Saccharomyces cerevisiae S288C: one gene and its partner. The protein of the gene in region 1 interacts with the protein of each later gene in a biochemical or structural test. Each region holds a gene or a part of one and is shown in the gene's direction. Other genes may lie near its edges.

The links.
Region 2: the proteins of DIG2 (region 1) and KSS1 form a complex in vitro, tested with the Saccharomyces cerevisiae proteins (2 studies listed by BioGRID, with this or other methods).

What each region holds. Positions count from the first base shown.
Region 1 is NC_001136.10:1,415,206-1,423,606, forward strand, and holds DIG2 (Dig2p), read left to right. Parts: upstream 1-2,193; coding exon 2,194-3,165; downstream 3,166-8,401. Other genes in the region: PEX29 (Pex29p), read right to left, coding at 5-1,669; alkaline phosphatase PHO8, read right to left, coding at 3,345-5,045; U2-type spliceosomal complex subunit CWC21, read right to left, coding at 5,226-5,633; alpha-1,2-mannosyltransferase KRE2, read left to right, coding at 5,952-7,280; VPS52 (Vps52p), read left to right, coding at 7,558-8,401. UniProt on the Saccharomyces cerevisiae protein: DIG2 and DIG1 are negative regulators of the filamentation and pheromone induced mating program. DIG1 and DIG2 inhibit the transcriptional activity of STE12 by direct protein-protein interaction.
Region 2 is NC_001139.9:573,766-579,348, forward strand, and holds KSS1 (mitogen-activated serine/threonine-protein kinase KSS1), read left to right. Parts: upstream 1-1,632; coding exon 1,633-2,739; downstream 2,740-5,583. Other genes in the region: YGR039W (uncharacterized protein), read left to right, coding at 1,123-1,434; BUD9 (Bud9p), read left to right, coding at 3,722-5,365. UniProt on the Saccharomyces cerevisiae protein: Together with closely related FUS3, KSS1 is the final kinase in the signal transduction cascade regulating activation/repression of the mating and filamentation pathways, induced by pheromone and nitrogen/carbon limitation, respectively.

The sequences.
Region 1 (8,401 bases):
AAGTTTATATAGTTGAATTGAGAGTGTCTGTTAGCTCTTCGATTGACGGATAAGATGCATCCGCGTCGATATTGTTGAGATTAGGAATAGTACCGTTTATACTTTCCTCATCAGCGCGGTCATCATCACTACTGTGAGTTAGACCGCCACTCATTGAACCCTTCGTCACGCCATGTACGCCTTGCCTATATGTTTCTTCCCTCAATGGATTAACTACTTCCTCCTCACCAAGGTTTGAAGAAATACCAGAATCCAGTTTTTTCCGCACGCAACTGTTGGTCCACATTCGCCTTCTATATGAGCCCCTTTGTCCATCAAGATTGAGGTCATAGACCCATTTTGTTTCTGAATCTATCTCGACATACTGAATAAATTCGTCCTCTACCCATTCTTTTGGATCCAAATCAAGCACCCAATGAGAATTGGCTTCCCATTCCCAATCCTTAGGTGGCTCAATTTCTTCTAATGACTTCACTGAATTTTCCTCAATACGCCTCTGGTATATTCTCAAACTAGAGAAAAGAGAATAATCGTCATCAGAGAATCCAACTGGGCGCCATTCTTTGTATTCAGGAAGATACTTTTGGATCTCAAAGATCATAACAAGTCGGTGCTCCCTAGCCTCAATGAGTTTCAAATGCTGCAAAATCTTAGATTCCAGATTAGTACTTATAGTCAAAGTTTTTAATCTTGTCTCCTCCGAATTCAATTTAGTCAACAAATATTCACGATTGGACGGATGCGAGGCAATAAAAAAACCCCAACCTAGCAGTATCAGTACGGGTCTCATTGGAATGAGCTTGATAAATTTATCCATGTACAGAAAATTTAATGTTGCTATTATTAACAATACAATAAAATAAAACGACGAAATAGCCTCGTTGGTGAAGAATGCAAACTTTTGTAATATGAGTAAAGTAAAATCGTAGAATTTAACATATAGCAGCATATGGTTTTGTAAATCCGTGAGGTTTAAGACAAATTCTTGGCTCAGTTCAGGGACTGGTTTAGGAACCTCAGGTCTTCGCAAAGGTGGGCCTTGTGCTGGTGTTTGATTATTATCTAGATAGCTTGTAGGGTTTGGCTTATGAATGTAAAGGTATTGCGGGACCATTACGCAGAATAACAAATAGAATATAGGGAGCGAAGAAAGCATTTGAAAAGGTTTCAATATAATGAGCGTGTATAAGAACATGATAGATACTGTATACGCTGGGTTAGTCCAGTTTAATATCTTTATTAATTCATCCATAATCATGAATGGTACCCCTAGTCTCGAGTTCATCTGTATAAAATTCCTACTCGTGATCTGCACAGACAGCTTAGGCCTTTCTTTACCAGCAACCATACGATGGTGAATTGTATCAACAGCCGTTTTGGAAGATGGTGGTAATGCCATTTTGATTATCTTCTCTACCAGGGTATCTGCCATCATCTTTTGGATGTTTGATGTCGAGGGAAAACCGCCACCACTAGTTGGCTGTCCACTGGAAGATGGCAGACTACCACGTGTAGGATCACTAGTTCTAGAACCACTAGATATGCTCTCTTTCTTTGCCTGACTTTTTCCATCTATGCCATTTTGCACTTTCTTCCCCTTGAGAGTTGATCTAGTTGGAGTACCAGCATTATAGGTGTCATTCCAGAAAAAATTTGTCACCGAGTCCATCTAGACGTATATACAGTAGGAGACTGAAATTTTGCTACGTATACAGGTGAGTATATTCATGCGGCCTGATCAGTAATTAAAAATACACACTATTCCTCGTTGTTATTTCTTAAAATTAGTTCAAGAAGAAGGGGTAACCCCTAAGCTTCTTAAGTTCACCACAAAAGTATTACTGGATAGTGAAACAACAACCACCCATAACATTAGTTTCCTAAACACTACGGCGGTATTCACCTAGACGCCATCCTAGAAGGCTACAAAGTGATGCACGTATGATGATATCGGACATTAGAGCGTATACATACAACAGGTACACATAAAATTGTGATATGTCACAGCTTCATCACCCGGCGGACACGTCTATTAAATTATCAATAATTACATAATGTGCAGATCAAATAAACAATAAACATACAGCCATTTAAATTTTGGTTATTAATGTTATTTTTCATTTCTATTGCTTGCAGTGGTATTTATGTGGTATAGTTAAGCCTGCAGGAATATTTAAGCAAAGAGGGAAAATTATGAATAAAGAAGAGCAAGAAGACCCACAGCAAGAGCAAATATCAACTGTTCAGGAAAATGATCCCAGGAATTTGCAGCAACTGGGAATGCTGTTAGTATCTCCAGGGCTTGATGAAGACAGATTGAGTGAGAAAATGATTTCGAAGATCAAAAAATCCAGGGATATCGAAAAAAATCAAAAATTGCTCATATCTAGGCTGTCGCAAAAAGAGGAAGATCATAGTGGTAAGCCTCCTACCATTACGACTTCTCCAGCAGAGAAAACCGTACCCTTTAAGTCGCTGAATCATTCTTTAAAGAGGAAAAGGGTACCTCCAGCGCTAAATTTTTCCGATATACAAGCATCTTCTCATTTGCATGGATCTAAAAGTGCTCCACCAAACATAACAAGATTTCCGCAGCACAAAAATAGCCTTAGGGTCAGATATATGGGTAGGATGGCTCCTACGAATCAAGATTATCATCCTTCAGTGGCCAATTCATATATGACAGCAACCTACCCTTATCCATATACTGGACTGCCACCAGTACCATGCTACCCATATTCTTCAACTCCAACACAAACGCACGCATACGAAGGCTATTATTCCCCGATGTATCCCGGCCCCTTGTATAATAATGGTATAATACCAGCCGACTACCATGCAAAGAGGAAGAAGTTGGCTGGTAGATCACCACACTTGGAAGATTTGACATCGAGAAAAAGAACCTTTGTCTCCAAACACCACAACGGAGACCCAATCATAAGTAAGACTGATGAAGACATTGAATGCTCTGTCACGAAAAATTCATTAAGTGAGGGCGCTTCACTTAACGACGATGCCGATGATGACAACGACAAAGAAAGGATCATTATTGGAGAAATCTCTCTGTATGATGATGTTTTCAAATTTGAAGTTCGCGACGACAAAAATGACTATATGAAAGCATGTGAAACAATCTGGACTGAATGGCATAACTTGAAGAAATGACGAGATTTCACTTCTTCACGCTATAGAATGCACCTAAAACTCGCCTGCACTCCGAAACGAAATGCGATACAGTACGTGTCATGCGGTTAGTATATATACATATATATATATATATATATATTCAAATAAATTATAACGTATTAAATAATATGTGAAAAAAGAGGGAGAGTTAGATAGGATCAGTTGGTCAACTCATGGTAGTATTCGTCATAATGTTGTACTTCACTAGCTATTTCTGTAGCATCAAAATCTGATGTGTGTTTGGTGTCCCTAATCAAATCAGTGACTTCGTTCAGGTTCAATTCTAAAAAGTTTTCTAAGAACTGGCCAACTTCCGTATTTTCGTGATTGCCTTGTAAATTGTTCAAGACATATGACCATGTAGCTTTCTTATTGGCGTATGCATATATGTTGACGTCGACTGCGCTGTGACCATGCGTGGTCCAGCCAATTTGGGCCCTAAATGATACCATGTCATTCAGTTTGTCTTGGATAGCATTTGCGTTGTCATCCAAATGAATTAATGTTTCTAAATCGCTATCCGTGTAATCGTAAATACCCAAATCTTTTTCCAGGATCTCATGTTTGATGAAATTTTCTATTTTGCTGCTTGCGCCCTTATGCTCATGAACAAAATCTACTAGTTTTCTTTTCAAAAACTCACCTGAATGGGTGGCGTTGGCGAGCACCTGTGGATACCAGACATACTGAGGATAGCTAGCAGTGACTTGTCTTGAAGTGACTAAACCACCCGTTTCATGATCCGACGTAGAGACCAAAACAGTCTCCGTATCGGAATTTTCAGCAAACTCCAAAACGTATTGGAATGCTTCATCGAAAGCCAACACCTCCCTTACCTGCGAAGCTGGATCGTTTTGGTGACCAGCATGATCAATTCTGGAGCCTTCCACCATTAAGAAAAACCCATTAGAATCTTTGTCCTCATTGGAAGCTTTTTCCAAGGCACCCAAAGCCACCTTGACTTGTTCCTTAAGGGAAGGATACTCCTTTTCATCTCTGTCAATTTCAAAAGGAATGTCGTTATCTGCAAAGAGACCCAAGAAAGGTAAAGTAACGTTTTCACCGTGGCTTTTCAACAAAGAATCAAAATTTTTACGGTCACCCACGTACTGCCAGCCATTAGATTGAGCCTCATCGATTAAATCTCTTCCATCTTTTCTAGCACCGTGGTGACCATATGGAGAAGCCTTTTCGCCTTGAGGGTAGAAATGGCTCCTGCCGCCACCCATGAGTAAGTCTACTACTCTCCCCAGAGGATATTCGCCTAACTGGTGCGTAGCGATAAGATCTTCCTGCCATCTGTAATCAACATGTGAACTGAATGAAGCCGGAGTGGCATCTGTGATTCTTGTCGTAACAACAAGCCCAGTGAGATAACCTGCTAACTTAGCCGCCTCGAGCACTGTACCACAAGGTCTGTGATGCGGATCAACACCGATGGCCCCATTATAGCTCTTTAATGCACATGCAAATGCGGTGGCGCCCGCAGCTGAGTCAGTGACTAGTGAGTCCGAGGACCTTGTTCTCGAAGACCCGATAAAATGCTCGTCAAGTGTCAGGATGTCGTCTATAGGTAAATCATTAACATGCTGGTTGAATGATCTTGCCATGGACAAAGACGCAGGTCCCATCCCATCCGTCACGAAGAATATGACATTCTTCTTCTTGTGTGATGCAGAACGTAATGCAAAACTGCTTGGAAATGCCAGTTGCACTAAAACCAGCAACAAACCAATACAGACCACAGTGGATACTATTATCTTTGATCTCTTCGAGATCCGTCTCTTTTTAGGACGAGAGCTCGAGTCAGATCCAGGAACAAGACGTGTCTGTTCGCTTGGTAATGTGTGAGTCATCATGCTGCTAATGCGCGTTCAAATAATGTCCCGTATGCTGATATGTAAATGTTTATGTAGCCACTTGCTGGCAAAATGTGGAGCACGAAAAAATATAAACGTTTAGATACACTTCTTTCTTTATATACTAAAATCCCTTTACTTTTCCTCTACGCGCGAAGCTTATCGCTATCGTCAATGCTGCTATTCATGTCGATGCTGCTCTTCCGTTAGACGCGCCTTACGAGGGGTGTACAAAGAGGACATCCGCTGCTGTTCTTGCCACTCGTTCGTCAGTTTTGCCCTCAACGCTTCACATTTCTTGTCAATCTGCTCTTCCGAGAGCGTTTCTTCCTCCTCCAGTCGGTCCCGTAGCTCGCTAACTTGTACTTCAATCTCACGTTTCTCCATATGAGTCTCTATCTGTTTCTGCACAGCAAGAGGCCTGCTTGCCTTGTCATGGCTGGCCTTTTTGATCGCATTTTGTCGTTGTTGCCGCTGCTGTTGACTACCCTGTGGTCTGCGCCTATTGTTGCTAGCAAGTGATCGCTGCACGTGGCCCGACGTAGATGACCCTTTTGCCGACTTGAGCCCTATTCCGTTGTACGACATGACTGGACGGTGATGCAGTAGCTGTTAACCGTCGAATGGTATTGTGTAGAGCTCAAATTAGGATTACACAGATTATAATACCACACTTATAGTGCCATTCTTGAGGTCTTACTTGATTCTTCCTTGCCTTTACCCGCACGCTTAATATAATTTTTCCTTCTTATCTGCTACGCCTTCTTCTAGTAGGAAAAAAAAAAGAAATTTGGTGAAGAAACAGTCTGAAAAGGAGATAATTTGCGATTTAATTCGTTTATACATTTTATGAATCTATAATACTGGAAGTGATATCCATATTCGCAAGCAGTTCCACTCGAAAGCATGGCCCTCTTTCTCAGTAAGAGACTGTTGAGATTTACCGTCATTGCAGGTGCGGTTATTGTTCTCCTCCTAACATTGAATTCCAACAGTAGAACTCAGCAATATATTCCGAGTTCCATCTCCGCTGCATTTGATTTTACCTCAGGATCTATATCCCCTGAACAACAAGTCATCTCTGAGGAAAATGATGCTAAAAAATTAGAGCAAAGTGCTCTGAATTCAGAGGCAAGCGAAGACTCCGAAGCCATGGATGAAGAATCCAAGGCTCTGAAAGCTGCCGCTGAAAAGGCAGATGCCCCGATCGACACTAAAACAACCATGGATTATATCACTCCATCTTTTGCTAACAAAGCTGGTAAGCCAAAAGCTTGTTACGTCACTTTGGTGAGAAACAAGGAGTTGAAAGGTTTGCTAAGCTCCATTAAATATGTGGAAAACAAAATTAACAAGAAATTCCCATATCCTTGGGTTTTCCTAAACGATGAACCTTTTACTGAAGAATTCAAGGAAGCAGTCACCAAAGCTGTTTCTTCCGAAGTTAAGTTTGGTATTTTGCCCAAGGAACATTGGTCATATCCTGAATGGATTAATCAAACCAAGGCTGCTGAAATTCGTGCAGATGCTGCCACCAAATACATATACGGTGGCTCCGAATCTTATAGACACATGTGTCGTTACCAATCTGGGTTTTTCTGGAGACATGAATTATTAGAAGAGTACGATTGGTACTGGCGTGTGGAACCAGACATCAAGTTATACTGTGATATTAATTACGACGTTTTTAAGTGGATGCAAGAAAACGAAAAAGTTTACGGCTTTACCGTTTCTATTCATGAATATGAAGTGACGATCCCAACACTATGGCAAACGTCCATGGATTTCATCAAAAAGAACCCCGAATACTTAGATGAAAACAACCTGATGAGTTTTCTTTCGAACGATAATGGTAAAACATACAATCTGTGCCATTTCTGGTCAAACTTTGAAATTGCAAACTTGAATTTGTGGAGGTCACCAGCCTACAGAGAGTATTTTGACACTTTGGATCATCAAGGTGGATTTTTCTACGAAAGATGGGGCGATGCTCCCGTTCATTCTATTGCTGCTGCTTTGTTTTTGCCAAAGGATAAAATCCATTATTTTTCAGACATTGGTTACCATCATCCACCTTATGATAACTGCCCATTGGACAAGGAGGTCTATAACAGTAACAACTGTGAATGTGACCAAGGTAATGATTTCACTTTCCAAGGTTACTCTTGTGGTAAGGAATATTATGATGCTCAAGGGTTGGTAAAGCCAAAAAACTGGAAAAAATTCCGTGAGTAGAAATCTTGGAACATACTGTTTCTTTGTTTTGACTTTATACTTTCTATTTATATTTTATTTTTATAACTGGTTAAGTACACATAGGACTGCGTATCAAACATATAAGTGAGGCAATCCACATTTTTTTTAAAGATTCGAATATTTTTATTCTCATTAGCGTATTCCGAGAATAGTTCGAAAAAATATAAGGTATATCAAGAGTTTTTACAAGTGAGAGGAAAGAGGAATAAGCTATAAGCAACAAAAGCGTAAAAAAATTAGCTGAAGACATAGAACTATGGATGTTCTCAAAGAGGTGTTGTCACTAGACCAAGATAAATTTGACCAGCTGAAGGAAACGAGCCGAGATAAAACAAATGAAACGGATGATCCTTTTGAAAACTATTTGAAGGATTGTAAATTTAAAGCGCCTTCAAACAAAGATCAGTCACCATTTGCTAAACTTAAATCATTACAGGAAACTCATTCTAACAATGAAGCGGCTATTAATATAATTATTCCTCAATTGATTGATTACTTAACCGAATTCACTAATAGGTTATCAAATTACACACAAGATTTAGACTTCATTAAAAAAAAGTCCAATGAATTACAGTCATTGCTCGAATACAACTCCACTAAACTGGCACATATCTCTCCTATGGTTAATGATTTGATGATTCCTCCTGAACTCATTGATGACATCATTAAAGGGAAGATCAATGAAAGCTGGCAGGATAATATAACATTCATAGCAGATAAAGAAGAAATTTATAACAAGTATAGGTCCAATAATCTCGATCAAGACAACAAGGACGCAGAAAATTCAGCAATGCTAGCACCAAAGGATTTTGATAAGTTATGTCAACTCCTGGACATCCTAAAAAATGTTATTCTAGAAAGGTCGAAAAGACTTATTATTTCCAAAATCAAAACTTTGAGGAGTCATAACCCAGTACCATCGCAAAGGATACAAAACAAATTATTAAAAGTTCAAAAAATTTTCCCCTTCATAAGAGATAATAATCTCTCCTTAGCCCTTGAGTTAAGACAGGCATATTGTTACACAATGAAATGGTATTATAGAGAATACTTTTCTAGATATATCAGGTCATTGACTATTTTGCAATTTCAACAAATCG
Region 2 (5,583 bases), on another chromosome or scaffold:
TACGCATGTTCTTCATAAGTCATTTGTCTTTTGATTTCACCCTGGTCATTTGGAATGATGTCACCGAGATTAGAGTTCTTCAAAAATCTGATGTAAAATTTAACCCATGTAGAAAAGTTTTCTTCTGATGTTAAAGTGTGTGGTGGTAAGACGTTATTTCCCACCTTTGTCTTAGCTTGAGGTATTTCAGAGTGTTGATTTTTTAAATCGATTGGATCAGGTGAGGAAGTACTCAGTGGTGGGATATACTGTGGCAACGGATAGTGTGGGTCCGGTTGATAATACGCAGGTGACGTTTGATAATGTGAACACGTCATCATAGATGGTTGTTGGTAATGTGCCCAGTTAGAGGCCATAGCTTTGTTTGGGGTCATCATGCCGTGCTGTTGGTACTGTCCATTCTGTGGAGGTGGTACTGAAGCAGGTTGAGGAGAGACATGATGATGGTTCTCTGGAACAGCTGATGTCCCAGGTGTTGTCTCTTGTTGAGAATTAACCTTAGTGGAATCTCTATCAAATTCCGGTAAATTGGAAGCTGAAACGGCTAACGGATCTTGATTTTATGGGACTTCCTTAGAAGTAACCGAAGCATAGGCGCTACCATGAAGAGAATGTGGATTTTGATGTAATTGTTGGGATTCCATTTTTTATAAGGCGATAATATTAGGTATGTAGATATACTAGAAGTTCTCCTCGAGGATTTAGGAATCCATAAAAGGGAATCTGCAATTCTACACAATTCTATAAATATTATTATCATCATTTTATATGTTAATATTCATTGATCCTATTACATTATCAATCCTTGCGTTTCAGCTTCCACTAATTTAGATGACTATTTTTCATCATTTGCGTCATCTTCTAACACCGTATATGATAATATACTAGTAACGTAAATACTAGTTAGTAGATGATAGTTGATTTTTATTCCAACAGTATTTATGTTTTGTCATTCTTTTCTACATAATCTTGAAACTAGGTAGATCTACAATTGAAAAGTAAATACTAACATTATTTACTAAATTTAAGTTAGAAATCGGCACGAAAAAAATTTGACAGATTACGAGAGTCCAGCCAAAATATGAGTATATTACTATTTCCCCTTGGTGAAAGAAATGAAAGATGTTATTTTTTACCGGCTTAGTAATACTGAGCTACTTACTTGGGGGAAAGAAAGATTGGCTACTTATTATGTATGAAGCCTCAGATTACCTTGAATTCCTCAACCGTTTGAGCAGTATGCTCTTCAAATTCGAACTTTTTGAACATCTTTCCTCCACATTCCTGATTTTTTCACATTCAAAACGCGCTGTGAAGCTGTTAGAAATTTACAGATCGAGGCATATTTCTATATATAATGTATTTTTATTAAGACACCCAAAGTACTTCCAATCTGTAGATATTGCACTTTATCTGACCAGAAGCCAGACTTGAACAGTTACATATTGTGCTTTGCAGTCGTTAAATTTCCCGAACTGTTTTCGTATTTTTTTTTCTTTTCCTCTTTTCCACTGGATCAGATCAAAAGCCGACTAAAAATTTGGCAATTTAAAGAAAGCATCTTTTAAAGATAGAAAAGGTTATTTCAACAAAAAAGTATCTTTTCTTCACTTTTCTTTCAACAATTCAAAGATGGCTAGAACCATAACTTTTGATATCCCTTCCCAATATAAACTCGTAGATTTAATAGGTGAGGGAGCGTACGGAACAGTATGTTCAGCAATTCATAAGCCTTCCGGCATAAAGGTAGCTATCAAGAAAATACAACCGTTTAGCAAAAAATTGTTTGTTACAAGAACTATACGTGAGATCAAGCTTTTACGGTATTTCCATGAACACGAAAACATAATAAGTATATTGGATAAAGTAAGGCCAGTATCCATAGACAAACTAAACGCTGTTTATTTAGTCGAAGAGTTGATGGAAACCGATTTACAAAAAGTAATTAATAATCAGAATAGCGGGTTTTCCACTTTAAGTGATGACCATGTTCAATACTTTACATACCAAATCCTCAGAGCCTTAAAGTCTATTCACAGTGCACAAGTTATCCATAGAGACATAAAGCCATCAAACCTGTTACTAAATTCCAATTGTGATCTCAAAGTCTGCGATTTTGGACTAGCGAGGTGTTTAGCTAGCAGTAGCGATTCAAGAGAAACATTGGTAGGATTCATGACGGAGTACGTCGCAACGCGATGGTACAGGGCACCCGAGATAATGCTAACTTTTCAAGAGTACACAACTGCGATGGATATATGGTCATGCGGATGCATTTTGGCTGAAATGGTCTCCGGGAAGCCTTTGTTCCCAGGCAGAGACTATCATCATCAATTATGGCTAATTCTAGAAGTCTTGGGAACTCCATCTTTCGAAGACTTTAATCAGATCAAATCCAAGAGGGCTAAAGAGTATATAGCAAACTTACCTATGAGGCCACCCTTGCCATGGGAGACCGTCTGGTCAAAGACCGATCTGAATCCAGATATGATAGATTTACTAGACAAAATGCTTCAATTCAATCCTGACAAAAGAATAAGCGCAGCAGAAGCTTTAAGACACCCTTACCTGGCAATGTACCATGACCCAAGTGATGAGCCGGAATATCCTCCACTTAATTTGGATGATGAATTTTGGAAACTGGATAACAAGATAATGCGTCCGGAAGAGGAGGAAGAAGTGCCCATAGAAATGCTCAAAGACATGCTTTACGATGAACTAATGAAGACCATGGAATAGTATTCACAAGAACATTTCTGCCATACTTCTAAAATTTCCCTATATTCAGCTTAGCAGTGACACGTTGTGGTCTGTAGGTCAATATGTAAGTAAGAAACTTCAACTCACATATGCACGATGCATGCCAATGGAAAAATGCAAGGAACGAAATGGCGCCACGGCAACAAGTTTTTTTTTTTCGCCAGCAGAAGTACACGAAATGCGGCTTCATGAGCCTCTTCACTGCTTTGCCTAAACGGGAAATGCAGAGAAAAACCAGCCATCGCGTGTGCTTGGAGAGCTGACGCGACTGTAATCAAAGAGGCGATATCAACACCTTTTATCCAGCACTATTCAACAGTGAATGGGCTCCCAAGTAAGTCTTGGCATTGTGCTTTCTATTCTTAAGTATTAAGTAGAAGTTTTGTTTACTGGGTTTGTTTATTCCTGGCTAGATGTTCGCATTCGTTTTCTAGTTGACCATATTTACCAAATATTCACAACTAATACCCAGCCAAGGTAGTCTAAAAGCTAATTTCTCTAAAAGGGAGAAAGTTGGTGATTTTTTATCTCGCATTATTATATATGCAAGAATAGTTAAGGTATAGTTATAAAGTTTTATCTTAATTGCCACATACGTACATTGACACGTAGAAGGACTCCATTATTTTTTTCATTCTAGCATACTATTATTCCTTGTAACGTCCCAGAGTATTCCATTTAATTGTCCTCCATTTCTTAACGGTGACGAAGGATCACCATACAACAACTACTAAAGATTATAGTACACTCTCACCTTGCAACTATTTATCTGACATTTGCCTTACTTTTATCTCCAGCTTCCCCTCGATTTTATTTTTCAATTTGATTTCTAAAGCTTTTTGCTTAGGCATACCAAACCATCCACTCATTTAACACCTTATTTTTTTTTTCGAAGACAGCATCCAACTTTATACGTTCACTACCTTTTTTTTTACAACAATTTCATTCTTCATCCTATGAAATGACGAAAATAACCAGAGATGTTTCGATAACGACAGAAAATTCAAAATCCACATCTGGATCGGCAACGGCTTCATCCGCATCTTTACCTGAGAACGACCACCCAATATTCCATCAACCGCGAGCAAGAATAAGATCTGGTTCGCTGTTCATCGAAGGATCTGATTCATTTCCATCATCAGAAGTGAAGTCATACAATGTTTATATTGATGATAGCAAGTATAGTGAAATCCTCAAAGGAGATACAAATTCAAGTAGTACTGATGGTAAACAAGTCTTTGAAGATGCTAGAGATGACAATTTCCATCAGGAATCACATAGAGATCTAGAGGATTCAATTTTAGATTTAGTACGACGAGATCCAGAAGTAGCAGCATTCCCTTTACCTCCGCCAAATTCAAATGAGAGGAACAGAAATTCCTCAAACGGGTCTTCCGCTGAAACTAACCTAAATGGACACAGCAGCAGCGGTACCATCTCTACTTCGGTGCTGTTGAATATGGGTTCGGCAGAAAAGCACGCTGGGACGACCAGAGGAGATCATATGGAATCATCTTCAATGAAATCCTTCGAGAAACTGGGAACCAGACCTTCTTCTTTATTCTATCCACCACCCGAAGGAACTGCGCCGTACCAGGGACCAAGGGCTACCGTCTCCGGAAATAAGTCTACAAGGCAAACACAAGGTACATACTCATTTCCTTCTATGCGGTATGGTGTAGATCTTGTTTCTCCTGTGGAAGGGGCTGTTGATGTAGCAAAAAGCAGAGTTCCTAACAGCACGCTAAATGGTACTTTTCCCGATAAAGCGTTTATCCCACATGAATTTCAAATTCCTAAAAAGGCCTGGAACAGAATACCAGCGAATAAGTCCACTAGCCTCAAAACCCCAAGAAACCATTCCCTATTAATTGACATATTAAAGCCTTTTGAAGCAGCTGACCTTGCTAATGACCAGCGAAGTTCTTCCGCTGTTTTAAAAAATACAGTGCATTCTAATGGGCAGTATAATCCAACTAATGAAACCTCTGGAACTCGAATGCAAGATCAAAGGCAGAAGAATACCAACGAAATTGATTTAGAGAAAATTCCTAATCCTCAAGTCCCTCTTGGTATCGCAATGGACACCATGCGTAGTCCAAACCAACTACACGAAAAGGAATACGAAAGTAATATAGAAGCTGGTTTAGCTTCTGGGGTCGGAAAAGGTGACAATAGTATTAAGCAACATCAATATAAAAAAATTCCTCAAGAAATTGATCGAGATCAGCAATTAAGTTTTCAAATGGAAACAATGCCCATTCAAAGAATAGATTCCTCCTCCATACGTTCATTTGATTCCCGAATATATGGCTTCTCCGAGATTTATAGTATTCCAAGGGTTATAACTACACTGTGCATCTGCCTTTTTGTTCCGCCCTTATTCTTTTTCTTTTCAATCAATGGAAATAATGGCGTTTCAAATTATAGATTAATGAGAATGATAATGAATTATGAACATAGAATCGGCCTCCTCAAAGGGTTTGAATGGGACATTGACGTACAATGGTTCAGGACATTGTGCTTTGTATTAGGATGTATAGAGATGTTAGCTATCTTTGCTAGCATAGGAATAGGATTTGGTGTGGGAATAATAAGAGAGTAACTCCATGCTGGACTTACTCGTCGAAGATTTCCTGCTACTCTCTATATAATTAGACACCCATGTTATAGATTTCAGAAAACAATGTAATAATATATGGTAGCCTCCTGAAACTACCAAGGGAAAAATCTCAACACCAAGAGCTCATATTCGTTGGAATAGCGATAATATCTCTTTACCTCAATCTTATATGCATGTTATTTGCTCTTATAATTGGTCTC